Linked DNA regions of Ovis aries. The protein of the gene in region 7 binds, or shares a complex with, the protein of the main gene of each other region. Links are inferred from orthologs where the notes say so. Each region holds a gene or a part of one and is shown on either strand. Other genes may lie near its edges. The genes, in order: DPF3, SMARCE1, SMARCD2, DPF1, SMARCD1, SMARCC1 and ACTL6B.

What was found.
Region 1: ACTL6B (region 7) and DPF3 share a complex: the UniProt entries of both Homo sapiens proteins name them as parts of the BAF complex. The link is inferred for Ovis aries from reciprocal best matches to the Homo sapiens genes ACTL6B and DPF3.
Region 2: ACTL6B (region 7) and SMARCE1 share a complex: the UniProt entries of both Homo sapiens proteins name them as parts of the BAF complex. The link is inferred for Ovis aries from reciprocal best matches to the Homo sapiens genes ACTL6B and SMARCE1.
Region 3: ACTL6B (region 7) and SMARCD2 share a complex: the UniProt entries of both Homo sapiens proteins name them as parts of the BAF complex. The link is inferred for Ovis aries from reciprocal best matches to the Homo sapiens genes ACTL6B and SMARCD2.
Region 4: ACTL6B (region 7) and DPF1 share a complex: the UniProt entries of both Homo sapiens proteins name them as parts of the neuron-specific chromatin remodeling complex. The link is inferred for Ovis aries from reciprocal best matches to the Homo sapiens genes ACTL6B and DPF1.
Region 5: ACTL6B (region 7) and SMARCD1 share a complex: the UniProt entries of both Homo sapiens proteins name them as parts of the BAF complex. The link is inferred for Ovis aries from reciprocal best matches to the Homo sapiens genes ACTL6B and SMARCD1.
Region 6: ACTL6B (region 7) and SMARCC1 share a complex: the UniProt entries of both Homo sapiens proteins name them as parts of the BAF complex. The link is inferred for Ovis aries from reciprocal best matches to the Homo sapiens genes ACTL6B and SMARCC1.

Annotation. Positions count from the first base shown.
Region 1 is NC_056060.1:82,222,667-82,226,166, forward strand, and holds part of DPF3 (zinc finger protein DPF3), read right to left. Parts: intron 815-3,500; coding exon 531-814; 3' UTR 1-530. UniProt on the Homo sapiens protein: Belongs to the neuron-specific chromatin remodeling complex (nBAF complex).
Region 2 is NC_056064.1:40,602,566-40,606,796, forward strand, and holds the start of SMARCE1 (SWI/SNF-related matrix-associated actin-dependent regulator of chromatin subfamily E member 1), read right to left. Parts: upstream 2,801-4,231; 5' UTR 2,756-2,800; intron 554-2,755; 5' UTR 509-553; coding exon 502-508; intron 326-501; coding exon 282-325; intron 1-281. UniProt on the Homo sapiens protein: Involved in transcriptional activation and repression of select genes by chromatin remodeling (alteration of DNA-nucleosome topology).
Region 3 is NC_056064.1:47,807,701-47,811,073, forward strand, and holds the end of SMARCD2 (SWI/SNF-related matrix-associated actin-dependent regulator of chromatin subfamily D member 2), read right to left. Parts: intron 3,199-3,373; coding exon 3,103-3,198; intron 2,964-3,102; coding exon 2,862-2,963; intron 2,715-2,861; coding exon 2,553-2,714; intron 2,423-2,552; coding exon 2,325-2,422; intron 2,166-2,324; coding exon 2,030-2,165; intron 1,870-2,029; coding exon 1,747-1,869; intron 1,629-1,746; coding exon 1,527-1,628; intron 1,436-1,526; coding exon 1,382-1,435; 3' UTR 501-1,381; downstream 1-500. Other genes in the region: PSMC5 (26S proteasome regulatory subunit 8), read left to right, coding at 1-65, 155-241, 340-393. UniProt on the Homo sapiens protein: Involved in transcriptional activation and repression of select genes by chromatin remodeling (alteration of DNA-nucleosome topology).
Region 4 is NC_056067.1:47,406,009-47,409,508, forward strand, and holds part of DPF1 (zinc finger protein neuro-d4), read right to left. Parts: intron 2,856-3,500; coding exon 2,805-2,855; intron 2,713-2,804; coding exon 2,593-2,712; intron 1,536-2,592; coding exon 1,423-1,535; intron 884-1,422; coding exon 772-883; intron 681-771; coding exon 610-680; 3' UTR 1-609. UniProt on the Homo sapiens protein: May have an important role in developing neurons by participating in regulation of cell survival, possibly as a neurospecific transcription factor. Belongs to the neuron-specific chromatin remodeling complex (nBAF complex).
Region 5 is NC_056056.1:136,225,193-136,229,288, reverse strand, and holds the start of SMARCD1 (SWI/SNF-related matrix-associated actin-dependent regulator of chromatin subfamily D member 1), read left to right. Parts: upstream 1-1,296; 5' UTR 1,297-1,325; coding exon 1,326-1,502; intron 1,503-2,179; coding exon 2,180-2,367; intron 2,368-2,620; coding exon of another isoform or gene 2,621-2,636; coding exon 2,637-2,679; intron 2,680-2,774; coding exon 2,775-2,897; intron 2,898-3,363; coding exon 3,364-3,486; intron 3,487-4,096. UniProt on the Homo sapiens protein: Involved in transcriptional activation and repression of select genes by chromatin remodeling (alteration of DNA-nucleosome topology).
Region 6 is NC_056072.1:52,090,186-52,093,685, reverse strand, and holds part of SMARCC1 (SWI/SNF complex subunit SMARCC1), read right to left. Parts: intron 3,472-3,500; coding exon 3,295-3,471; intron 739-3,294; coding exon 641-738; 3' UTR 1-640. UniProt on the Homo sapiens protein: Involved in transcriptional activation and repression of select genes by chromatin remodeling (alteration of DNA-nucleosome topology).
Region 7 is NC_056077.1:36,361,508-36,365,007, reverse strand, and holds the end of ACTL6B (actin-like protein 6B), read right to left. Parts: intron 3,487-3,500; coding exon 3,406-3,486; intron 3,300-3,405; coding exon 3,204-3,299; intron 3,011-3,203; coding exon 2,924-3,010; intron 1,311-2,923; exon of another isoform or gene 1,039-1,310; intron 317-1,038; coding exon of another isoform or gene 236-316; exon of another isoform or gene 213-235; coding exon 117-212; 3' UTR 103-116; downstream 1-102. UniProt on the Homo sapiens protein: Involved in transcriptional activation and repression of select genes by chromatin remodeling (alteration of DNA-nucleosome topology).

The DNA.
Region 1 (3,500 bases), on a different chromosome or scaffold from region 7:
ATATTATGGAATTATTGATTTCTTAAATCTATGTTAATATTTTGGTTATTTTTGTTAAAAAGTAAATCCTTATATGTTTTCAAATTGTAAAAAATATATTCACTATCTTTTAAAAAGTAGTCCTTATCTTTTTGAGATATGTATGGAATAGTGTCAGGTGAAATGATATTATGACTAGGATTATAATTTCATGCAAAAGAGGTGGCAACATTTACAAGATTGGACATGTACTGATCATTGTTGAAGCTGATGATGGGGTACACAAGTCTCATTATTTTCTCTATCTTTGTATATGTTTGAAATTTTCCATAAAAAGGTGTTTTTTTTAAATTTTGCATTCATTATGCTTAATATTTAGACCAAATGAGATGACACATTCCAGAATGTGGTGTAAAAAGCCAAGCACATCCCAACAGTAAGCGATGGGCACCACTGTCTACCACCGACCCCTTGAGGGCTGGAGGCCAGCAAGGCAGTCTCTGGCCATTACCCCCTGCACCTGTTTCTAAAGACACAAAGAGTAGCCAAGGTCATTGTAGCACAAGGGTCCCAAGGGTCCTCAAGGCAAAAGTCAAGGGGGGAAGGGTCCTGATGCATATTTTCCCCAGGAGTCCAGGGATGAGAATCCCACCTTCCTCTCCATCCTCAAAGGACTCCCAGCTCCTTGGATTTCTCCTCCCACTTGGGAAGCCCACACTCACATCATTCTCCGAGGTCCCACAGAGGATGCAGGACTTGCATTCTATGCACTGCCACTTGTAGGTCTTGACAGCCTCGGTCATGTTCAGGGTGAACTGCAGGCAGGTGGGGTGACCTGGAGGAGGCAGAAATGGCAGCATTAAGGCCAGAGGGTCTGACCTGTCACCCCCTCGACACAACGCTATGCCTCACTTGGAGGGAGGGTGGGGTAGCATGTGTTAGGAAGCAAACTGGGGGCCTGGATGGGGCCCTACCCGCCCTCTTCACCACCACCCACAGTTACAGCAGATCAATGCCCAAAGAGAGGCATGAGGATTAACCCTTTGCTGGGGAGAGATGTCATCCAAGTCCTCTGTCCTAAGAGCCACGTCCCCTCAGAAGTGTAACCAGTTGATGAGGACAGAAAGTGGTGATCAGAGAGAATGAGAAAGGAAGTCACACAGCACAAGGCGACGCGATGAGAGTCAGCAACAGCATCTCCCCAGCATCAGCGGTGGTGGGAGCAACATAAGAGCTATTTAGAGTTGATCCTTCTGATCTGCAAAGTTGTTCATGCTGCCTCAGGGCACAGGGGAAGAGACCAGAGAGAGCGTGTGAGGCTCCCAGGGACAGAGCTCAGGGGCACTGGAAGGCTCTGCACTGCCACCTAAAGTGTCCCTCCGTGCCCAAGACCAGGGGACCAGCAGAAGTCCACACCCTGCACAGGAACAGGAGGGAGGCTGGAGAAGTAGAGCATCATTGCAAGGATGTCCAGGTCTGTCCTGAGCTCTTCTCTTCATCCCAAATATCATGTTAGCCAAGCCAATAGCAAGAGCAGGGAGGGACATTAATGTGACCTTACAGCACCCAGCCCCAGTGGTCCAACACCAGAGGCCTGGCCTGCAGGGCTGGGCTCTACCCTCAGTTACAGCTCACCCAAAAGACAGAGGCCAGCAGCGAGAGAACAGCTGTGAGCCACAGAATGTGACGCCTTTGACCTTCTGTCTGACAGGGACGGGAAACTTGGACGAGGTCCCCAGGTCACTCAGGGCTATGAGTCAGAAGGCAGAGCACTCAGGGTGAAGCCTGTTACTGACACCGTCACCAAAGAATGGACAGTTTTGCCTGTTGCTGAGGGTTCACCCTTCTCCAGGGCTTCCAACTCCACCAAATCCACCATATCATGCACTGCTTGGCCTCTATCACATGAGGGATTGTGAGCTTCCAAAGGAGAAGAGTATAGATGGGCCTCCAATTAGAGGCAGTTCTACCAACCCAGTGTCCTCCACAAAGAGTCAAGATCCACATGGTACCACCACTCCTTGGCAAAGTCACAACTCAGCAGGAGGCCCCCATTTCCTCTTTTCCATATCCTTGCAAAGCTGGTTCCATCATGGTCCTTTGGGGGACATTCTGTCCATTCAGTCAACAGACAAACCCTTCAGATCTGGGGCCCCAGCAATGCACACCACACCGAGCTATCTCTGAGAGTGAGAGTGGGGACTCATGTTGAGGGGAGCTGGGGACACTTTGCAAACAGCAGGTGGGAGCATTGAGGACAGGAGGAGACTAAAAGCTTTTCTAGGACTTCTCAGAGGCCATCCAAGGTAGAAACCCCCATGGCCCTGAACCGATAACTTTCTCAAAGCAACACCATACCAGTGACCCAAGGGAGAGAGAGAGATCTTACATTAAAAGCTTGGATGAACATCCAGCTGATATTCCTGATGGCATCTCAAATATCTAAGGATGCTGGCCAGAGTTGTTCCCTACCCTGCTCTCTCACACAGAGTAGTGGGATGGGAATAGGAGAGAATACACCAGCTTGAGATTCTGAGTGGTCTGCGCCAGAGATGCCCATGTTCTTAGGCAGGACACCCAGGAACTTTGATGATTAATTCATGGAGCAGATACCTAGATTAGCAGGTTGTCGTTGCCCAGTTTCACAGCCCCAGTGTACACCCAGCCACACCCAGCCAGCTTATAGTAACTGTTCATGAACAAGGATTTATTGGACATCTGCTAGAGCAGTCATGGTCCCAGACAGAAAAGATACACTGGTGAGCAAGACCACACACACCCCTACCTCCAGATCCCTCTAGTCTGGTCAGAGAGAACTCAAATTAATAAACTACACACATACCTATTTACTTACAGCTGTGTGATAAGTACCATGAAGGAAAATCATAATTGGCAATGAAAAATCACAGGAGGTTAGTATCTAGTCTGAGATGTCAAGGAAACCTTCTCTGAGAAAGATCTTGGAGTTGACACCTGGCAGATGAGGAGATTAGCTGGATGGGTGAGGGAGAGGATTCCGTGTGTGGAGGATGGTGCATGGAGGGGCAAGGCACTGAGCCGTGGAGGAAGTGGGCAAACTCAAAGGAAGGTAAAAGCCAGTAGGCAGAGGCTCGCAAGCAAAGCAGGAGGGGAGGTGGGTGAGAAGCACCCAGAGACGAGCTAGAGTCAGACTACCCGGGCACGTTATGCCCCTCATTAAGGATATGGGGCTTTAAAATCATTAAAGCCTTGTGGGCAAGGCAGTGACTAGATTACTCTGTGCATTTTTCTAATAGGTTTTTCATTTTTTAAAAAATTTTATTGGCGTATTGCTGTTTTACAGGGTTGTGTTAGTTTTTGCTGTACAGCAAAGTGAATCAGCTATACGTTTACATATATCCCCTTTTTTGGTTTTAAAAGAGCATTCTTTCCGCAAGAGGGAAACTTTGGATGGTGAAGCAGTTCTGAACCTTGATTGCAGTGGTAGTTATGTATGTGCTAAGATTGCATAGAACAATACATATACGTGCATAAACACGTGT
Region 2 (4,231 bases), on a different chromosome or scaffold from region 7:
TTAATAGAGATGAACAAGAAAAGTGTTAAACTTGCCACTTATTTCTAATTAAAAAAAGAACTGAGCATAGGAGGTTGGCATTTCAGTAGTATGTTTCTTTAAATGTTGGGGTTGGTTCAAGGTAAGATGCAGAGTTATTTTATTTAGTAGGAAGTGCTGTTTTTTAGCTGAATTTTTCATCCTGTTGCTGTAATGATTGAGTGACTGTCACTGGAAGACATCTGGGTTTTTGTATCAAGGCCAGACTTGGCTATTACATTAACAAGAAAATTAAAACTTACTGTTGCAGGAGCTGGGGTGGGAGGTGGGGCATAAGATGGTCTTTCTGTTTGAAAGAAAATAAATAACTTCTTGTAAACAACTGAGATATAATACTATGCAACAAAACTACCAATGGTCCTGTTTTGAAGAAAAAAAAATGAGAGTATTTTGGAATTCCCATTTGCTAGGGCATTAGTCTCTTATTAATATAGATTGATAAATATAAAAAATGAAACTTACTTGACATTTTGGAAGATTAAGTTCTCAGTTCCTTAAGAATGAATCTGAGACACTAAAATAAAAAAAAGGAAAAAAAAAGAAAAATAAAGATAATCAAAACTCAGCAAGCATAAGAGAATGTTTTTCTAAAGAATAGGGTAGTTTGATATTTCTTTGTAAAATTACATTATCTTCTAGTAATCAAGCCTTTTAAATATTTTACTAGTTCTTTAGGTCACTCAGTTGATCAGAATTAAATGACTAAAACAAATGACAGGGGATATTAAAAAGTAAAATTAGACATGTACTTGCAAGTTTTTGTTTTTTTTTGATACTGAGCCACCTCTTGTATGGAAAACGTTTCGCTGATGCCATGTAAACATTTAATCAAATCGGTAAAAATACAATGACAAAAGAATATGATGTATTATTGGGGCCTACCTCAACAAGGCCTACCAGACACTGACAGCTCCATGACCAGCCACAGCTCTGCCTTCCTTTTAGGATAACAACTTCTTTCTAGTAAAACAGCATTTTACTCCTGAAGGCAGTGGAAAAGGTAACTGGTGTGACAAGAAACTTCACATTCTCTTATAGGAGTAATGGAGCTTCCCTGGTGGCTCAGCGGTAAAAGAACCCGCCTGCCAACGCAGAAGACTTGAGTTCAATCCCGGGGTTGGGAAGATCTCCTGGAGAAGGAAATGGGAACCCACTCCAGTATTCTCCCTTGGGGAATCCCATGGAGAGAGGAGCCTGGTACCCTATAGTCCATGGGGTCGCAAGAGTCAGACACAACTGAGCCACTAAAAAACAACATGATGGTAAACAGCTTCATAACCGCTGGGAATAAATTTCGAGAGTCTACTGGAAAAAACTCTTATTGATCTTTCTTAGCTCAACTCAAAATATATCTCCTCAATGGAGACTTCTGGACCTATCTGTACAAAATTAAATGTTTCCTCATTTGTACTCCAATTTACACAGATCAATATCATATTACACCTGCTAATATGGGGGCTGAATGGAGACAGGGACCAGCTAGTTCATTATTGCTGTCCCAGTACCTAGCTCAATTTTTACCAACTTCAGTCCTAGTAACACTAGCTCAGGACATGACCACACACACGTGAACTTGTTCCTTACCTCACTATACATTACACACCATGTGTACAAAGAGATGAACATTCATTTTCACAAAAAAGGCAAATAACTTCTATGACTACTAGAGTATTTTCATCCGACATTATGAGAAACAAACATGATTTTTTTTTTGCTCCTGTTTTGTATTTTAAGGGCATTTCTGGAGCATTATGAGTAAGAGGCCTGGTGTGGAAAGAAAGAAATCATTTATTTTCTCAATGGCCCAACCTGGGTCTCCCTCTCTCCTTAAGGTACATGCAGGACACCAGAGTCTAATGCAGATTTCCTTCCTGCTCAAGCTTGGGTGGGCTGTCAACATCCAGTAGGCCTTGCTGTGGGGGGCCCTGATAATATCTGCCACAAGCTCCCAGGTGTGTCACATTTTATTAACACTCTAAAATTACTGGTCTCTTTTGCTATACCATAAATTTCAAGAGTGATCTCGTACAATTGTCCACCACTGTATGCATCTCCGGTGCCTGGCATAAAATCCTGGAGAAGTTATTTGTTGAATACCTTATACGGGACAGGCTTACTACTTTCACACCATCTGGTTTAACAGTCACACTACCAACGAGGTGTGTACTGCTATTGCCATTTTACAGAGGGAAAAAAGGAGTCTCGTTCAGTATAAGTAACTTGGCTCAAGACACAGAGTCAGGAAGTGTCAGAGCTGGGTTTCAAACCCAGGCCAAACTGTTGCCCAGCTTTCGCTTTTCACTCCAAGCCACACCGTGAGTCCTCAGATCGCTGCCTGGGCAAGGGGAAACCATCTTCCTGGGGGTGAGGACCACGGGCTTAGCTTGCCCCAAGGGCTTCCTCTGAGACCGATTCGGTTTGGTTTGATGTGTAGGTGCACTTTACCAGCTACTCTACTGAAGAGGAGCATGCAGAAGCGCCTTGACCACTTCCGTGGGGTTAGTGGAAGGGGCACTTCTGGCCGCCCAAGAGGAGCCCCAGATGGGACTCTCTCCCCACCCTCGCTCCGCTAGGCCTCAAAGAGGCCGCAGCCGGCCCCCGGCCCTGGTCCCGCGGCCAAGCCTGAACCCCAGCAACCCTCAGCAACCCCAGCCAAGCCGGGACCCCACGCCTCTCCACCCTCCCGACCCAGCCGGGCCCAGTCGGAAACACTCACCCGCGGGCAGAAGAAGCGCCCGCAGCTCCGGCCTCGCTTCCCTTTGTCCCGCGCACGCCCCGCCCCTCGCGTCCCGAGCTTCCGCGCTCGCACTTTCAACACTCTTCTTAATTCCTTTCCAGGCCCCACCCGACTCTCTTCAGGAAAATAAGCGTTCTCGTGGGGACGCGGTGGTGTTTAGCACAGTCAAGGATTTTTTTCAGGCTCCATACGCTCCTCAAAACTCCCCGAAAGTCAGTACTTTGCCAGCCGGGCGCCGATTCGTCACTCCGGAGAGGGAGGAGGTGGCCCGGCCGCGGGTAGGCCCGGCCGCGCGGCCCCCAGCGAGCCGGAGCGGGGACGGGAGGCGCGGCGGGAGGCGCGAGGCTGAGCCGAGGGGGGGCGCGAGCGCGGCCTCAGCTTCCCCGCGCGGGGCCGGAAGGCGGCGGGGAGCGCGCCCGGTCGCCAGCCCCGGAACCTCTGTGGCCGCGCGGCCCGCGCACCACCCCGGCCGGGCTCAGGCCGCGCACGCCCCCCGTCCCTGCCCCCGAGAGTTTCTGGGTTTTTTTTCCCTTCCGGTCTTTTTCTTGACTCTTTCTCTGGGAGCTGGAGTGTATATACTTCACCAAGCCGAGGATGGAGGCGTGGAGAGCCGGGTTTACAGTTTCCGTCCTCCTGCGCGCCTCCCAGGGCTTCCTGCCTTAACCGCGGGCAAGAGCTTTGGCGAAAGCAGCGCAGATCTTCCCAGCTGTTCCCAAGCGCAAGGCTGGTGTAATTGTCACAGGTTTCTGAGCCAAGGCCCGGAGATGTAAATCTCCTTGCCCCCGGTTGTGTGTCCCTGCAGCGCTGGGCAAGGGGTCTGTGTCCTAAAGCGCCTTGGCTCATTCGGTTTCCTCTGCCAGGAACGACAGTCCTTCACTTTTGGGTTTAAACTCATCTGTCCTTCCGGATCCAGCTCAAATTCTGTCCCTGATGCCCTCCGGGAACTCCCTGCCTCACGCGCCCCTCCTCCTCCCAAATTAACAATTATGGCCTTTACCTAATACATTGTATCAGACTGTGTTTGTTATTCTCAGTACTCTATGAGAGCCTTGAAAGCAAAAATTCAGCGGTCTGCATTGGTCATCTTCCTATAGCCAGTGCCCAGTAAGGCCTTGAACCATTGTAAGAAGCTCAGTAAATCTATATTGAGGCAGGCTATGGTCTAGTCCAGGACTCTTTTCACTAAATCATGACCACGTTGATGTACTAGATAGCAGCCTCTCCTTGGATACATAAACACTTGACCGACGTGCGCCACTGCAGAGAGGGGAAGGATCTGAAATCACTTGAGAATGGTGTTGACGTTTAGAATGACTTGATTCTTCAGCTACCCTTAGCCACCATCCTGGGTGTGCCAGCAGGGACTAGGGTATCTCCAGAAGTATGCAAAGCCAGGGACAAGTGACCCTCTGTCCAGTTCTTCCACCTCCAATATTTTCATGTTCATGATTAGAG
Region 3 (3,373 bases), on a different chromosome or scaffold from region 7:
CCCGGGGGATCAACCTGAGAAAAATTGCTGAGCTCATGCCGGGAGCGTCAGGGGCTGAAGTGAAGGTAACAGGAGTGCCCAAGGGAAAGGGGGCAGAGGCAGGAAGCACTGGGTTCAGGGCACAGCGGCATCTCCCCCTTCTTTCCCTGCTCAGGGCGTGTGCACCGAGGCTGGCATGTATGCACTGCGGGAGCGCCGAGTGCACGTCACGCAGGAGGACTTCGAGATGGCAGTAGCTAAGGTACAGGGCCACGCCTTTCTGCCTTTGCTGGTGGTGACTCGAGCAGTGGGGTCGGGCACGTGTTCACTGGGTCTCTAACTCAAATGTTCTCTCTCCAGGTCATGCAAAAGGACAGTGAGAAAAACATGTCCATCAAGAAACTATGGAAGTGAGGCAGACGTCCTTTGTGTGGATCCCTCAAATAAAGCTCTACCGGTCAGGACCTTGAGGACTCGAGTCTGTTAATCAGCAGCTGCACTGTTCAATCACCAGGTCTAGGTACCACCAATAAACAAAGATTTATTTGGAAATTTCCAAACCTGCCAGAAGTGGCGTTTGCCAAGCCCTCGGCCCACCCTCCTTAACAGGCTCCAAAGAGCAACAATAGTCCTCCCCATCTCCCACTGCCCTCCACCGAGCACACACACACCCACGCCTCAGGCCACGCCAGAGAATTAGGGTGCCCTCTCCCTAGGAGGCGTTACCCTGGGCCCAAGAACTGGGGTGACAGCCCTCTGGCATCGCAGGAGATGATGGCGGCCAGAGCCGCTTGCATAGATTGAGAAAAGAAAATAAGGGACCCCCCAAGTAGGGCTCCCTGAAAACCCCCAACACACCCCCATAAAAAAAGTGGCTCCCGCATAGAAAATCCTGCTCCACAAATAGTGCAAATAACCCGAAGGAAAGGAAATTACCAGCAGCAAGGCTGGGCTGGTAGGAATGGCAAAGAACTTTGGTTTGGAAAGGCTAGGAAGAAAGGGAGCCATGCTCCTCTTCCTCACCCCGCTCCCTGGAGCCAGCGTGGACACTCGCCCCAAGGGGGTCTGTAAACAAGCAAAGCCAGGGGCCTCTGGTTCCAAAAGGTCTCGGTTAAAATGTCAAAGCAGAGCCTCCAGGTCCTTCTCAGGCCTGCCTGCAGGGGGCACAGGAGGCCTCTCGTGAACCCAGTTAAAGCCAATGTGTAAGTAAGAAGGCTTTGGAGGACCAAGCAACAAGGAATCCTATCACTACACTTAAGAAACTAAAGCCGGGGAGCCGAGGGTAACTGGAGATGCCCCTCACCCCCTCGTTATCCTACGTGTCTGCGCCCCAGAGGGTGGTCCCCTTCCAGGCTGAGGGCGTGGCTCCAGGCTGGGAAGAAAGGAAGGGGTCCCTGAGCAGTTAGGTCAGGCGGATTCCCAGCACCTGTTCCAGTTCCTGCCTTCGCTGCTGCACCTGGAGCAGGGACAGACCAGCGGCTCAGGCCCGGCTGCCCACCCTGCCCTCCGGTATGCCCTCCAGGCCAGCCAGGGCAGAGCCGCCTCACCTTGGCAAAGATGTGCCTCCCTACTGCTTCCTGGGCCCAGGGCTGGTGGTAGAAAGCTGCTCGTCTCTCCTCCTCCGGGTTCCCAGTCACATCAGTGATGATCTGTAGAGCACCAGGAGCAGAGCTGAACGCAATTCCCACCCCTGAGCCAGAAGAACGGTGCTGGGGACAGAACCCCCAGAGCTTAACGTGGGATCACCCTCAGGAAAAAGGGGCACACCTTGAGGTCCCGGCGCTGGGAACGGAGCCACTCCTGGATGAAGTCCTGGGGGTCAGTGCTAAAACTGAGCATGAAATCCCTCTGGGTCTTCAGCTGGTTGATGGACTCAATAGTCTCGTGGATCTGGGCAAAGGGGTACGTGTCAGACTGGCTCCCACCCCGACAAGGTCTGCTTCCAGCCCCAACCCGAAAGGACTCAGGTCCCATCCCAAGGTGCTATATAAATGGAAATGCCCGACACCTGCCCATGCTCACTGGGGGCCCAGAGGAGGTTGGGGCCCACCTTGACATCAAGGGAGGCGATCTCCTGCTGATTGGTGGTAGAGGCCAGAAAATTGCTCATCTGGGCCTTGAGCGGGTCATCCACCTCCACGTCAATGTCGTAACAGGCTGTCTTCTTCTGGTCGTTAGGGTCCACGCTACACGGCACACGGGAGAGAGCTACTTCCCTCCCGCCCGCCCGGGGCAAGACCACACACACCCAGGGAGCAAGAAACCAAACGTGCTGCTTTGCTTTGGCTTTAATTGAAGTCAAAGGCAAACCCCTGAGAGCAGCGTTCCTCCCCCTTCCCGTTTACCTGATGACGTGGTTGATGACAATCGGGTCTGGATGCTGCAGCAACCCTGCCAGCTTCATGGGAATCTCAGAGAAACGTAGTCGGCCACAGCTGAAGATCTGGGGAGGGCGCCAGAGGGTCGGTGACGCCCTGGTGGGCACATGGGGAAGTGGCCCGTCCCGGGGCGGTGTGGCGCCACAGGCAAGGCGGGCGGGGGCTGGAAGGGGAGGGGGCGGTGTGCCCGCTTACCTGGCGGAAGTAGCGGTTGCAGTTGATGTACTCGCGCTCGTGGCCGTCCTGCAGCTGGTTGTGTTTGATGTAGAGCCACAGGGCCTGCATGATGGCAGCCCTCGTCTGCGTGTGCACCCCCAGCAGCCTCGCCAGGCGGGGGTCCAGCTTGTACTGTGGGGGCTGGCATGGACAGACGGGAGTCAGAGGAGGGAAAAAAAAACCCAAAGCAGGCTAGGGCAGGGACAGGAAGGGTTTCCAATGGGCACCTGCCCCCGCCCCAGATGACAGTCCCCGTGAGCCCAGACGTGGCCTCAGGGCACTCGTCACCTGATGATCCAGCATGAGCAGGAGGGTGCACTTGACGTTCAGGTCTCCAGGCCGTTTCACCTGGAAGCCGTCTGTCTCCTGGGTGGTGGGCATCCGGTGCCACTGGCAGGAGGAAGGGGAGTCAAGCTCATCACCAAAGGGGCGGGCAACATACGCACCTGGCCCTGCAAGGGGACTGAGGCCATTCCTCTGCCCGCCGGGCACGGCACCCTGTGGTCCCAAGCCCCAGGCCCGCTCTCACCTCTACCAGGTGGTTGTCTGGCCCATACAGTTCCTTGTCCAGCTCGATGACGAGGCTCTTAAAGAAGGAAGAAAACTTCCGCTTCTGTTTACTAGGCTGGGGATGTAAAGGGGGTGAGACAGGGGTGCCATTGAAGGTTCAAGCCTAAGCCACATACTAAGCCCCGAACAGAGGAATATTGTTTCAGTCCTAAAGCTCAGGGTACTGAGGATTCTCAGGCCCTGAAAGAAGCAGGGAAAAGTGAGACCTGAGGCACAGAAAGGGTCCCTAG
Region 4 (3,500 bases), on a different chromosome or scaffold from region 7:
GGGCACCGAGAGGGGGTGAGGGGTGGACACCACATCCCCCCCCCCCACCGGCCCAGGGCACAAGGAGGGGATGGTGCCCGTCTTGGGTGGGGAGGTGGGACAGCTGCAACTCCAGGGGCTGGGGGGAGGGGCCGCCAGGCAGGACGCTGGCTAGACTGGTGCCCAGTAGATGCGCTCAGCAGTGCCCCCTCCACCCAGCCAGACCTTATAGGACTCTTTGTTATATATTAATTTCTTTCTTTTTTTTTTTTTAAGTTTTTGACTTTTTCTTTAGAAAAAGGCTTTGTCCATGCCCCCAGCCGGCATCCACCACCCCTCGTGCCCACCTAGAGGCGGGGTATGGCTTTGAGGGGAGCAGAAGGCCCTGGTACCCATTTGCCAAGGGGGTGAGGAAGGAGGGAGGAAGGGAGAGGACCCTGCTGGGCCCACCAACCCACAGGGCAAACATTCCACTTGCACAGAGGGGAGGGGGTGGCCCAGCCCCCTCCCTGGCTCCCCCCACCCCTCCCACTGTGGGGCATTAAGGATGGGGAGAGAGTGGAGGAGCTCTGAGAGGAGAGGCAGGTAGGCAGGCATCACCCCAGAGGTCCGGGCGAGCCAGAGCCAGGCCTAGGTGAGGGTGATGTAGGCAGACGCCTTCTCTTTCAGGTGCCGAAGACAGAGGTGACAACTCCAGCTCCCTGTGGGGCGGGCAGAGGACAGGGAGTTGGGTCAGGTTTGGGCAGGGCTGCCCCCACCCCCACCCCCATGTCAGACCCTCCTCTCTCTCACCTTCCGGGGGCTCTGCCATGGGAGGACTCAGGCAGTACATGTGGTAACCCCGATCGCAGTCGTCACAAAACAGCAGCTGGTCCTGGGGGGTGAGACCCGCCCAGCTGGCACCCTGGGGGCACGGGCACCAGAAACCGGGGTGGGGGGCGGGGGCAGGGGCCAGGTCAAAGGGGCTGGTGGAGGTGTCTTCTTGCAAGACACAAAGGGCTCTGAGAAGGTCATCTTTGCAAAACCCTGCTGGGCCACACGAAACGCCCTTGAGGACCATCAGTTTGTGGTTTGTAGTTTGGGTTTTATAGGATTCTGTGGGACACTGAGATGGTCTGGAAGCCATGGGTTCAGGTCCCAGCAGAACCACGTCCCTAGCTGGGTGACCTCGGGCAAGTGTATTCCCCTCTCTGAGCGCGGTGTCTTCTCTGTGAAGTGGGAACAAGAGCACCTACCTCAGGGCGGTTGGGAGCACTCAGAGAGTGAAGAGTGTTAAGTGCCGGGTTCAATTAATGGCCACTAACAATAATAATAATACAGGTTAACTGGTGTTCACGAGGGAGGGCGCTCCAGGGAAAGGCTTAGGCCCAGCTGGCGGAGGGGGCGGTGCCAGGCGGGGAGGCTGCGCGGGCAGGTCCCGGGGAGGAGCGGACGGGTACTCACGTCGTTTTCCGAGGTGCCGCACAGGCTGCAGGACTTGCACTCGATGCATTGCCAGCGGTAGGTGCGCACGGCTGCCGTCATGTTCACCGTGAACTGTAAACACGAGGGGTGTCCTGGGGGCCGAGGGGCAGGGATGCGGTTAGGGGCTGTGGCGCCCCTGGTGGCTGCTGACCCTGGGGAAGCCCCTGGGGGCTCAGCCCCCACCCCCTGGCTCACAAGGCCTGACCCCGCCCAGCCCACGGTGCCCCGCGCCCGTTCTGCAGGCAGCGCCGCCCTGGCCACCAGTCTCCTACCCGGCCACCATGGCAACCACACTCTGCTCCCCAGAACACCATGGCAACCGCATTCCATTACCCAGGGTGCTGTGGCAACCACTTTCTACCACCCACAACACCGGGGCAGCCACGTTCTGTGAACCGCTGTGCTGAGACAGCCACATTCCATTAGCCACAGCAGAGTGGCCAACCCGTTCCCTTAACCGCAGAACGTGGCAACCACAGTCTCCCAGCCACGATGCCATGGCAACCGCCTTCCACAGAGGGGTCCCCACACCCTGGTTCCCTGCAGCCCAAGGCCATTACACACAACGCCACAGCAACCACAACGTTACCAACGTGACTGTGGAGCGTGTCAACCTTCTGGTTGTCCCACCACCCGAGCGCAGACCCACAGCCACGACCCCAGGCCACCAGGACACCCAATCGCCATGACAACCGTATTTCACTACCCTTAATACCATGACAACCACAATTCATTAGCCACCGTGCTGAGCAACCACAGTCTCTTACCCACAAGTCCACCTTGGGAAACCACATTCTATTAACCACAACTCCACGGCAAGCGCCCTCTGTTGTCCACAGCATCCAGGCAGTGGCAATCCGTTACTCGCTATCACAGCCCACTACCCCCTGGTGTTTTGGCAGCCATCTTTCACTGTTCCGCATGCCAGACAGGCACCTGCCGGTGCCCACAATGTCATGACAACCGCGTTCCATTGTTCCCAGAGCCTCCCTGACCCCACTGAGCTCCCCACAGTCCTCAGCAGTTGAGTCAGCTCTGCATCCACCAGGATGCTCTGCATCCCCCCAATTCTCTCTCCTCTGCTTCCTGCCCTCCAGATCTGGAGTCTCTCCACCCCAGCCCCCAGAAGCCTCAGGTGGGGGGCATCACCTGATCGCCCACAGTCAGCACAGGAGATGAGGTCCTCAGGACACCCTGTCTTCTTGGAGCCCCCCAGGCAGAAGTCGCAGTAGCCGTTAGGGATGACAGTGCCGTCAGGCGCCTTCTTGGCTGAAAGACAGCAGGCAGGGGTTGGCGGGGGCAGGAAGGGACCCTCAGTCCAAGGCTGCTACAGAAGTAGGGGCAGAGGGAGGCGTCCCTACCTGTGTGTTTCCTCTGTGACTCAGGGACCCAGGCCAATTCTTTGTAAAACTCTGGGGGTAGGGGGACAGAGAGAGGGGCTCTCACCACAGGCAAGGCTCCACCCTGCCCACGGCCTCGGCCCCAGGGGTGGACCCCTTGTCCAGGCATGGAGGAGGTGAGGAGAGGGAGCCGCTACCCTAAGCTGCATCCAGCAGCAAAAGAGAGTTGCAGGGAGCCCAGGTAATTCTCATCAGGACCTTGCAACTCTCTGAAAACGACTGACAGGTCCTCTTTACTAGGTAAAAACTTGGCAGGTACAAGCCCCCTGCTTCCCCTGCCCGTACGCACTTCTGCCAGACAGCCACCCCCAACGAAGCCCCAACTAAATGAAAATTAGGTAGAGGCCACTGGCCACGATCTGGTATGGAAACAGACACTCAGAAGGAAAATTCTGAACACAGAGGTGCCTGGGTGTGTAGTAGGGGTGGGATGAAGAGACTGCTCTCTCCCACCGAGGAATGGGTGGGAGGATGGTTCCTCCACTGGCAGAGCCTCTCCCCAAGCCTTCCCCCGTCCCTCAGCTGTCAAGGTTGGCACTGGATTGGCATGGGCGGATGCCAAGGGTTCCCAGGCCACGGCCCCTGCCCCTTGGCCGAAGCTCAGCAGAGAAGGGAGGAAGGGAGGCAGGGAGGGAGGGAGTCATCTATCACCCCCCT
Region 5 (4,096 bases), on a different chromosome or scaffold from region 7:
AGGTACCGTTTGATAGTGGAACGAAAGAGACAGGCCTAGAGGGGACGTTGAAAGCTCTGCTATTCTGTTCCTCCTTTCCTCCCTTACTGAGAAACCAGCGAGATAGAGGACCTGCCATGCCCCTTCCATCAGGCACTCCTCCCAGGCCAGAGCCCTGCCCCTTCCCAGGCCTTCTCTGTCCAGCTGCCTCTCAGCCTCCAACCCCAGAACAAGACCTGTGGCAGGTCATCTGTGCATTGGCCTGGAGCTGGAGAGTGAGGCCATAGGATCTTTGGCAACTCTTGGTTCCCAGGAGTTCCTTAGAGATCAAACCTCTCCAGAGGGAAGCAGGAGCAAGGCCAAAGGGTGTGCAGTGGATGGGGAACAGCAGGCAGGGCTATGGGTGACGCATGCCTCTGGTCTAATAAACTGGGTTTTAACCATCTCCTCTTCAGTGTCGTTCTTCTCTTATTTGAATAGTATTTAGGCCTTCCCACTAAGTGTCTAGAGCTGAGCTTGGCTTGGGGCCACACAATCAGGGGAGGAGTAAGGAGGCGGGAGCAGGGGTGCTCTGGTCCTCCTGGGATGGGACAGGCTGACATCACACCAGGAATGGTTTGAACCACTGGGCAGGGAAAGAGGAAGAGGTCAAAGGCAACAAAGATCCCCAAAAGAAGTCCTAGCAGAAAGGATTCTTTGGCGAGGAGGAAGGGTCACACTTCGAAATAAACTTAAAATCTGGTAGCAGTTTAGGTTAAAAGTCAGGGGGAAAGCTGGGCTGAAGTTCCTGTAGTTATTGAGGCACTTTATGGAATGAGCCCCGGACTATGAACCGGAAGATCTGCATTATAGGTTTCGACTTTACTACTAACTTGGTTGACTTCACCAAGTCATTTACTGAGTTCACCTCGCCTGCTTGTAAAATGGAATAAACAGTGCGTTCTCTTCAGTGTGCTGGGCTTAGAGCAGGAAGAGAAGGAAAGGAAAAACGCACTGCGCCAAGATGAAGCATTTACTCCATCACCCTCGCGCAGGGATGGTGCAGTAGTCCCCCTTTCCAGGTCCTTGTCTCCCTCCGTCGGCCTGGGGGCGCCCTTTCGCATGGCCTCTCTGTCCCAGAGCTCTTCTCGATGGTTTTCCCTCCCGGATCATGAAAGCTGGAGGGAGTGGTCACACGCCTTTTCCGCTAGTTGCTCCCCTCTAGCCCACAGTCTCGCTGCCCTGAGCCTCCCGTGCCGGCGGGCCGGCCGGGCGGACAGGAGGGCGCACGGGGGGCGCGCGGGGGGGGGGCGGGGGGAGTTCCGGTTCCGGTTCTTTGTGCAGCTGCAGCAGCGGCTCCGGGAAAGATGGCGGCCCGGGCGGGTTTCCAGTCTGTGGCTCCGAGCGGCGGCGCCGGCGCCTCAGGAGGGGCGGGTGCGGCGGCTGCCCTGGGCCCGGGCGGGACACCGGGGCCTCCGGTGCGAATGGGCCCGGCGCCGGGTCAAGGGCTATACCGCTCCCCGATGCCTGGAGCGGCCTATCCGGTGAGTGGGGCAGGAGGAGGGGCGCGGGCCGGGGGCGGGGCCGAGCGGGGGCCTGGGAGTGACAGGGGTGGGGGGAGGAGGAGGAGGGACGCGCCTGGGAGGGATTCGGGCGCCGAGTTGGGGTCGGGGGAGACGCTGCGGGGAAGGGAAGGGAGGCTGTTAGCATCCCCACCTGCTCCTAGAGGCATTGTTTTCTTGGGGAGTCAGGATGTAAAACCAGGGTGGACGAAGTGAGGCCAGACGTGGGCCTGTGAGACCTTGAGTGCAAATGGACTAGGCAGGTCCAGTGCCCAGGAACACAGAAGGTGTAGCTGGCAAATTGAGGTCAGCTTCTGAGGAGATAGTGCCTGACAGTACTCTCTGAGTAAATATGGGACTAGAAGAGATGTCCAGTGTGCCAGATACAAAATAGACCGGGGGAGGGGGGCGATTTGAGTATAGTCTGGCTGTCTTTGCTTTGGGCCTATATTCTCCCGTGGAGTCAGAGCTGGAGCAGTGGAAGTTCCAATTACTTGGATATCAGAGAGGTAGAGGGCTCTCCTCCCACCCCACCATTGTGCTCCACCCCACCTTCCTGCCTTGTTTCATTCAAAGAACTCAGGCCTCCCCCACTTTCCCTTTCTTGGTGGGATTTGCAGGGGAAGCCATGACATCTCTAGGTCCTCTCCCCTCTGTAGAGACCAGGTATGCTACCAGGCAGCCGAATGACACCTCAGGGACCTTCCATGGGACCCCCTGGCTATGGGGGGAACCCTTCAGTCCGACCTGGCCTGGCCCAGTCAGGGATGGACCAGTCCCGCAAGAGACCTGCGCCTCAGCAGATCCAGCAGGTCCAGCAGCAGGCGGTCCAAAATCGGAACCACAAGTAAGATGATCCCAGGGTGGAGGGAGGGAGGGAGGAGGCCTGAGAGGACGCAGGTGCTGGGGTGCCTGAGCAGAGAAGCGCAGTGCCGTGTCAGCAGGCGGTACTCATTCTTGAAATAATTGCTTCGTGTTTGTTAGGGGCGGGGGTGTCTTTGATTTGAGACAAGCTTTGCAGTTTCTTCACTTTACTATAAATGGAGGTGCTGACAGCCTGTCTTCATGTTCTGGCTAGTTCCATCCCAACCTGATAACAGTATTTATTCCAAACAGTGCAAAAAAAAAGAAGATGGCTGACAAAATTCTACCTCAAAGGGTGAGTCCAGGGTATAGACCTTCTTGAGGTTGTGGTGAGTTGGAGAGTAGAGATGGTCAGCCTTAGATCCCAATGATATCTTTCTGTTCCCTAAGATTCGTGAACTGGTACCAGAATCCCAGGCCTATATGGATCTCTTGGCTTTTGAAAGGAAACTGGACCAGACTATCATGAGGAAACGGCTAGATATCCAGGAGGCCTTGAAACGTCCCATCAAGGTAACACAAGAGAGTACTAGGCAGAGAGCCAAAGGAGAGGACTCGGGAACCTTCAGCAGGCTTAGGATGAGAAATCAAAGGCATAGCACAGCTTTCCTTGGCATTTAAATTACATCTCTTCTGCCTACAAACTGAGAAGCGTAAGAACAGAACAGCAAAGGGGAAGGGGCTTTTGATAGTTCTTGCACCAGAAATATACCCTGTTGGTGTTTTTGCCGTAACTGCTCTGCCACCTTGGGAACCTGGCATCTTGCATGACTGTCTACTTGGCATCCCGGTGAATGCATTTGCACTGAGGCCCGTGGCCTGTGCTCCTCTTCTCATTGGAATCTGCATCCAGCCACCCCAGGGACTGGGTAGACAGTAAGCCAGTCTGTTAGGAGTCATTGTCGGGTTTGGGGGGACCCTTGTCTTCAACATCAAACCACTGAGGCCCCACTGTCAATCCTGTTTCTGCCTTCCTCAGCAAAAACGGAAGCTGCGAATTTTCATTTCTAACACTTTCAATCCGGCTAAGTCAGATGCTGAGGATGGGGAAGGGACGGTGGCTTCCTGGGAACTTCGGGTAGAAGGACGGCTCCTGGAGGATGTGAGTTCAAGGTCCACCGTGGTCGGTGTCCGGGGTGGGAGCTTCTGGGAACAAGCAGTATTGTCTGGTTGGCAGGAAGCCTGACTGGTGCTTACAGCTCCTGTTGGGAACAGCAGGGAGAGGGTCACTGTGTTCTCTGCACTAACAGACAATGGTTCTTTGTGTCTGGCTCCCACAGCTTGGCCCTCTCTGTGGTATCACATCGAGAACCTTATTGTGCTGGGATTTGATTTGTTGTTTACCTCTCTCCTGATGCTGCTAGCCATTGGATTTGGCAGTATCTGCAGATTTTTCAGTTATTTTTTTTCTTGTAAACCAAGTGAATTTGCACTTAACATTTGGGCCATGCTCTCTTCCCTGAGTCCTTGAGGTCCTTGATTTCTGCTGTGGCCTCTCCATCTTCCCAGCTCCTATTGGAAACAGCTCGCAGTTTATGTGGGATTGATTTCTGTGCCTGGCTCTTTGTTTTTTCATGGGGAACATCAGCTGCCAGGTGATAGCTTCCAACTTCCCACCCCAGAAGCTCCTTGGAGACGCTCACCTGCCATTCCCTTATACTCTCTGGCTCTCTATTTTTAGCTGTTCACAGGCAGGCCAGTGTGAACGCAGT
Region 6 (3,500 bases), on a different chromosome or scaffold from region 7:
CACTTTTCCCCATCTCTTTAAATTTTGGTGCGTCCATGTGTGGCAAAAGTCTCATGAAACTTCACCATCAGCACCATTCTTAGCTCAGATAAGCAGAAATAAGGTCACTTACAATGCCTTAAGGTTTGTCCCCTCTGGCTATCCCCTCTGCCCATCAATATTTTTTGGTTCCTATTAACTTAGGATGCTCTCCTTTAAAGCAATAATGACCAAAAGGAAAAAAAAAGAAAAGTGATAATGATTATAAAGCATTATCCATATAAGCATAAGACAAAGCAAAAACAGAACAAAACTGCAGGAGAGCAAAAAATGATACAGACATAGACCACTAACGTTGACAGGACCTGCAGACACACTGTCAGCATACCCCACAGCGGGTCAGGGAGACGCCAGGTATTTCAGGGCGACCAGGGCACACTGGCAGCAGTGGCTTCCCCTTGAGTGCTGGAGGAGGACTAACACAGCAGGTGTCAGAGCACGGAGAGGGGTGGCAAGAGGAATGGGGAAAAGTCAGGGTGCGTGCTTGGGGCTGTGAGAAGAAAACTCCTGAAAGAAACCCAAGGAAGCGGAGGAACACAAGTCTTGTCATCCCCACTCCAGCTGGGGGCACTGGGCGCGGACGTCCCCTGTGTCTTTCGGGCTACGGTGCAGCTGAGGCTGGTGGGCCAGGAGCGGGAGGTGGAGGGCCTCCGTCCGCAGGTGCTGGAGGTGGTGGCTGCTGCTGCGGCGGAGGGGGATCTGCAAACACATCCAAAAGGAACTTGTCATTGCCGGAAACACAAGGGGCCTGGGCAAGAGCCCATGCAGAGAAACAGGACTTATAAAGGAAGTTTCTTTATGGCCTGTGAGGCACGGCTGCTGCTGAGGGCTACATGGGGCGGTCCACCTGAACCTCCACGTCACCACCTGTGTGGCTCCCCTGACCCACGCGGCTCGGGGGTGCGGAGGTGTCTGAGTCCGCCCCACTCTCAATCCCTCCAGACCTTTGCAGAACTTAATTATATTTTGATTTTATCATTATCTTAATGGTTCTCACTGCTAATTCTCTCTCTTCAGTTAAATGATAAGCTCCTTCCTGGACAAGTTCTGTGTCTTCTTTGCGTTCTCTCAGAGTGCCTAGCCTAGCTGGGGACGAAACTGCCTATCAGAAACTGCTGGCTTTTATGAACTGTCTCCACCAGGGTCACAGAGATTGACTTGAGGCAGCGGCCAACAAGCTGGATAGCCTGGAGAGGCCCCGCAACTCCTGAACTGTAGTCTTTAAATTTTTGGCCAAAACTAGGTCAGGTCCTGAAGGGAACAATTAGGAAAGGAGCTCTTTCCTATTTCTACTTTGACTGCTTTAGTGTACAAAGCAACCATAGAGATACTTCAATCCAGGGTTTTAAAAACTTCAAGATTTTGCCAGGGATGAAAACGAATTAAACAATTAAAGCACCTCCTTGCTTACCAGCTAATTCATCCAACCTTCCCCTCAGGAGGTGTCCACCCAATTGCTAAGGCTCTTCAAAGCGTTTTGAAGCCCACCGATTTACTCCCTAGTGTCACCTTTCAGGGGAGCAAAGTAAGGCCTGAAGAGGGAAGTGACTTGCCTGATGAGGCCTGCCCAATGCCCTGAAGCCAAATCAGCAGCTCAGGATCCCTGAAATTCATCTGGGGCAGGAAGTGATGGGGAGCACCCCAAACATTCCACACCCTCAAGGTACTGCACTGAGGGCCCTTCAGGATGGAATCATGTATACAAATCAGGTGTTATCAGCAGGACAGGACAGTGGTAAAGACCAATGATATTATGTTTGCAACGGGGATGGCAGCGTGGTCAACCCTCCCAGTCAGCCAGCACATTTTTACACTGCCTGTGGGGCAGCAAGGCTAGGAAAAGAGGTACGCACTAGACTATGATCTCTGATCCTTGATGTAACAACAAAGATCGCTTAAAAAAAAAAGTTTTTTTTATTTATTTGGTTGTACCGGATCATTAGCTGCAGGATCATGCATTAGTTGCATGCAGGATCATTAGTTGCAGCATGTGGGATCTAGTTCCCTGACCAGGGATCAAACCCGGGCCCCGTGCACTGGGAGCGCAGTATTAGCCACTGGACCACCAAGGAAGTCCCTCGTTTCTCAACAATGATCCTGTACTGACCTGGCTCAAGTGCTGTCTTTCTTCTGTGCACCTAAATCTGTCCTTGTTCCTAGGAGTCCAATGAGAAAGGAGATGCACCTGTGTTGATGGCACTTGTCTCCTGGCCCTAGGAAGTCTCCCAGAGAACTATAGTGAGCTCAAGCCACTCAATAGCCTTGTGTAACTTACGGTAAATCCTACACTACTATCCATTTGTTCATGTTTTATTTTCCCAACTAAAGCTCCTGGAGGCCAGGAATACCTCTGCATCCTAGCTCTCTGTATTGTATTATAAATTCATTATTATTACTTTATGTTTTTGTATTATAAATACATTATCATTTTATTATAAGCTGTATTACTATAAACAAACAGGGGCTGACTCCACCTCATGAGAACCCAGGTCCTCCTCTAAAAGGACCTGGGATCACAGATGTGGCGGGGTACATGGCCACTGTCAGCTGCATTTTGGAATCATTACCATGGTCCACAGGGTAAGAGGGCAGGCCAGGCTCTGATGCACCCCTTTGGAGGCCAGGGTTGGAGCAGAACAAGGGTTCCATGGCAAAACCGAGCTGGTTTTGCACACTGCCACAGACACTGTTCATCAGCATATGTGCCCGCTCGATGGAGCCCGCTAAGACTTCAAACTCCTTCTCAACACAGCCCTGAATACTCTTTTCTAAGTCTAAGCAGCCACTACCAATATATTGGACAAAAACTTATTATTATTCTTGCCCTAAACCAGACTCTATTCTTTTCTTTACACTTACCTCTTTTAAATCCTGAATCCATAAAAGGCTCCTGTACAGAAAATAACTACCAGTAGTTCTGTGTATCGACTCAGATTCAAATTAGATAGCCTCAAACAGGCATGGGTGAGGTGTGCCCTTGGCCTTGCCAGAGCCCTTGGTGTCACGAATGCATCCACGAAGGCTATGGAAGGCTCCTGACTAACTGGGAGCACTCTGTGCTCACCACCTGGGTACCTGTCCACCAGGGATGCTGAAGCGCAATGACCAAAGCCCAGGTTTCAGAAGCGCCCCTCACAGGCCATCCTGTCCAGGGATCTGTCACACCCCAGAGGGAACAAACGGTGCTTGCCTCCCTTGTGTACAGCTCTCCCCAAAAGTCCCGAGGGTAGTGCCTCCCCCCACCTGGGTACTTACACATGCCGTTAGGTGCCGTGAGGGGTACCCGGGGTCCTAAGATGTTTCCTGGGATTGGAGGCATACCAGGAGGGGTGGGGCCACTCCCAGGGGGGTGGATGCTGGCTGCAACGGTGGGCATCATGCGGCCTGGCATGGGCTGCCCAGGCATCATGGAACCTGGGCCTGGTATCTGACCTGTGGAGGGAGAGTCAGAGTACTAAGGT
Region 7 (3,500 bases):
CCAAAGAGGCCAAACTTTTTTTTTTTTTCTTAAAACATGTTTACTCCCTTTAACCCAGAAACTTCACAATCAAGAGGACAAGTGGGGAGGAGAACAAAAGGGGGCCGATGGGAACGTTAGGAGGGTGGCTGTCGATCCTGCGCTTGCAGAGCCGAGGTGGGGGAAACCGTCTTCTTCCGTTCGCTTTCCCTCCCCCACCGCTGCGGGCCGGCCTGTGGGTGGGGAGGGGGCGCCCTCAGGGGCACTTCCGCTCCACGCACTGTTTCCCGCCCTCCTCATATTCCTGCTTGGAGATCCACATTTGCTGGAAAGTGCCCTGGGTGGGTGGGGCGGGAGGGCGGTCAGGGAGGCCAGGAGGGAGGGAGAGCAGGTTCCCTATGCTCCACCCGTGGAGGTTCGGAATCTTCCCCCTCCCAAGCCCACATCCCCCCACCCCCCCGCAACCACCAACTTGCCCCATCTCCCTGTCCCCTCCTTCGTATTCAGAAGGCGGATACCCGCTTCATACCGTTCAATCAACGATGCATTCACTGAGTATTTACTGAGCACCTGTCAGTTCGGAGCCCAGGGCGGTTCGAGCTGGGAGGTGGACCTTCCAGCCGCAGGCCAGCGAACCTGCGCTGCAACACTCCATATCCCCTCTCCACCAGATACCCCGTCACTCCATCAGGCCTTACATGCCAAGTCTCCCTCCTTCCCAAGAAAAATCTTTCCTCCACCCTCCTCACCATTCTGACACCACCTAACATCAAGGTGGGGATGATGTCTTTATTTTGGCACCCCACCCCACCCCCCCACCCCCTGTTGAAATAGGGTCCGCCAGCCCTGGCACTTTAGACTGTGCCATCTCTATGATCACTTGCGTCTGCCTGAAAGTCAGTGTGTGTGTCCCTGTTTCTGGACACACCTTCCTGGACCATGTCACCTCTCCCTTGACTTCTGCTTACTGTGCCAAAGCCCCACCCTTCCCATCATCTCCAGTTTCCAATGCAGAGCTCCCTGCCGAGTTCCCGACCCAAATTCTCAACTGTCTTTCAGACAGCTTCCTGGTCCTCAGTGTCTCCTGGAACCTCACTCAGTCAACATATCCATGACTGCTGTCACCATCTTCGCCCAGCCCTGCCTCAAACCTGCTTCTTTGGTCTTTCTCGCCTTCTACAGTTGCCCTGTCCAAATCCAGTGGCCCCTTGCCACGTGGAACACTTGAAATGGAGCTATCGAGCACGTGAAATGCAGCTAATCCAAGATGAAATGTGCTCTCGGTGTCAAATCTGCACTGGATATTGAAAATAAATCCAGAGGATGTGAAACGTCTCACATTTTATACTAATTGACGTACTGATAGTACTTTGAATAAGTAAGTGTGTTAGGCGCTCTATCATGTCCGACTCTTTGCAAACCCATGGACTGCAGCCCACCAGGCTCCTCTGTCCATGAGATTGTCCAGGCAAGGATACTGGAGTGGGGCGCCATTTCCTTCTCCAGGGGATCTTCCCAACCCAGGGACCGAATCCGGGTCTCCTGCACTGCAGGCAGATTCTTTACCTGGGTCTCATCCTTGACCCCTTTCCTTCTTACCTCTCGTATCCAAACGGTGCCCACATTCTCAGTCAGACCTCTGATAAGCTCCCAACCCTCTCTCCCCTACATCCACTCTGCTGGCGACCCCGGGTCACAGTGGAGACCGCGGTAGCCCTCTCCAGCCCACTCTCTGCTCTGTAGCCCAGCTTGTGTGCTTAGTCGCTGAGTCGTGTCTGACTCTGTGTGACTCCATGGACTGTAGCCTTCCAGGCTCCCCTGTCCACGGGGATTCTCCAGACAAGAATACTTGAATGGGTTGCCACGCTCTCCACCAGGGGATCTTACCAACACAGGGATCAAACCTAGGTCTCCCGCATTGCAGGCAGATTCTTTGCCATCTGTGCCACCAGGGAAGCCCAGGTGAGCTTCCTCAACTCTGGCCCCACAGCACCTACCCCCTGCCTGTGGCCTTGCCTGGCTCTCCCCTGGGGCCACACACGCTCTCCTGCTTTGCCTCCTGAGTTCTCACTCTTCCATCTCAGCCTGAAGGTTCCTTAGAGGCCCCTCCTGATGCCTGAATGAGATCAGGTCTTCCTTTGAAGGAACACCCCACACTTTGTGGTGACCTCCTCTTTGACTGTCTTGGCTTCCAGACTGTCCCCATGCACGAAGGCAGGGATGAGGTCGGGCTGTCTGTCCAGGCGTGCAGGAGGCTTGCCACGACTGTGCAACTGACACTTTCGCAACCCTGAGCTATCTTCGGGGGGTCAGTCTTCTGTCACTCTGACCCTTGCTTCTGTCCCTTTGGGGGCACCGCCTCTAGCTGATATCATCCTTGTCCTGTCATGACCCTGCTGTCCCCCTCTGTGTAGCTGACACTCATCAGATGCAGTCTGCATCTTTACCTCTCTGCTCAACGTCTTGCCCCTGCCCCAGCAGCTGCTCCAGACTGAATTCCCCACCTACCACCACAGAACCACCCTGACTGCTGCCTTCGGTTTGTCCCTTGCTCACCACCCTATGCCCACTGCTACCCATCCCGTGACTCTAGGACAATAGAAAGAGCCTCCCGCCAAGGTCCCCTTGAATTCAGCTCATACCCCCATCCCCAAAGTCTCATGTCGGACATAACCTTCCCAGTCATGCCTGTGGCCATCAGATCCCCTTGCCCCAAACCTCTAGGGGCTCACCCTGGCACACAGACTACCACAATCTCATCCTAGCCAACCTGTCCAGCTTCCTGTCCTCCACTCCCTGCTTTGTGTCCTGAGATCGCATTCACCTTTCTGGGAGCACTGACTGCCCTTTCATAAACAATGAGCGAATGAGGTGGTAGGCAAGGTGGTGGGGCGGTCTGGATCTACCCCACATTCAGCACTAGGCCAGGGCCCTCCTCTCTCACCAGTGAGGCCAGGATGGAGCCCCCAATCCAGGGGCTGAACTTGCGCTCCATGGTGCTGTTGCTGGCGATGAGCTTCAGCCTCATGCTCTGGGAAGAAAGAAGGGCTAGGGGAAGCAGACACCTGGTTCTGGGAAGTGGGAAGGGACAGGGCTCGGAGTGGCGAGGCCATAGCGGGAAGGAGCCGCTTTGGTGGCCAGAATACTGGCTCAATGTGTGGGAAGGAGGAAGGACTTGGTGCTGAGGGGCTGGCCCAGGGCCCTGGCCGAGGGTGGGCTCCTACCGGTGGAGTCTTCTGGGAAAGCTCTCGATTGAGCCTGTCAGTGAAGCCCTGCAGGAGCGTGTTCCCACCGGTGACAATGACACTGCCGTAGAGGCCCTGAGAGCAGGGAGGAAGAGTGAGCGATCAGGGCACAGCCCCGCCCTGGCACCCACGCCCCCACTTCTCCTGGACCCCTCCACCCAGAGGCAGGCTTGGGCCTCACCGGACGAATGTCAATGTCGCACATGCCGATGCTGGTGGTCACCACGTGGCCCACCCCTAACATGGTGTTCCCCGACAGGCCCTGTGGAGAAAGGT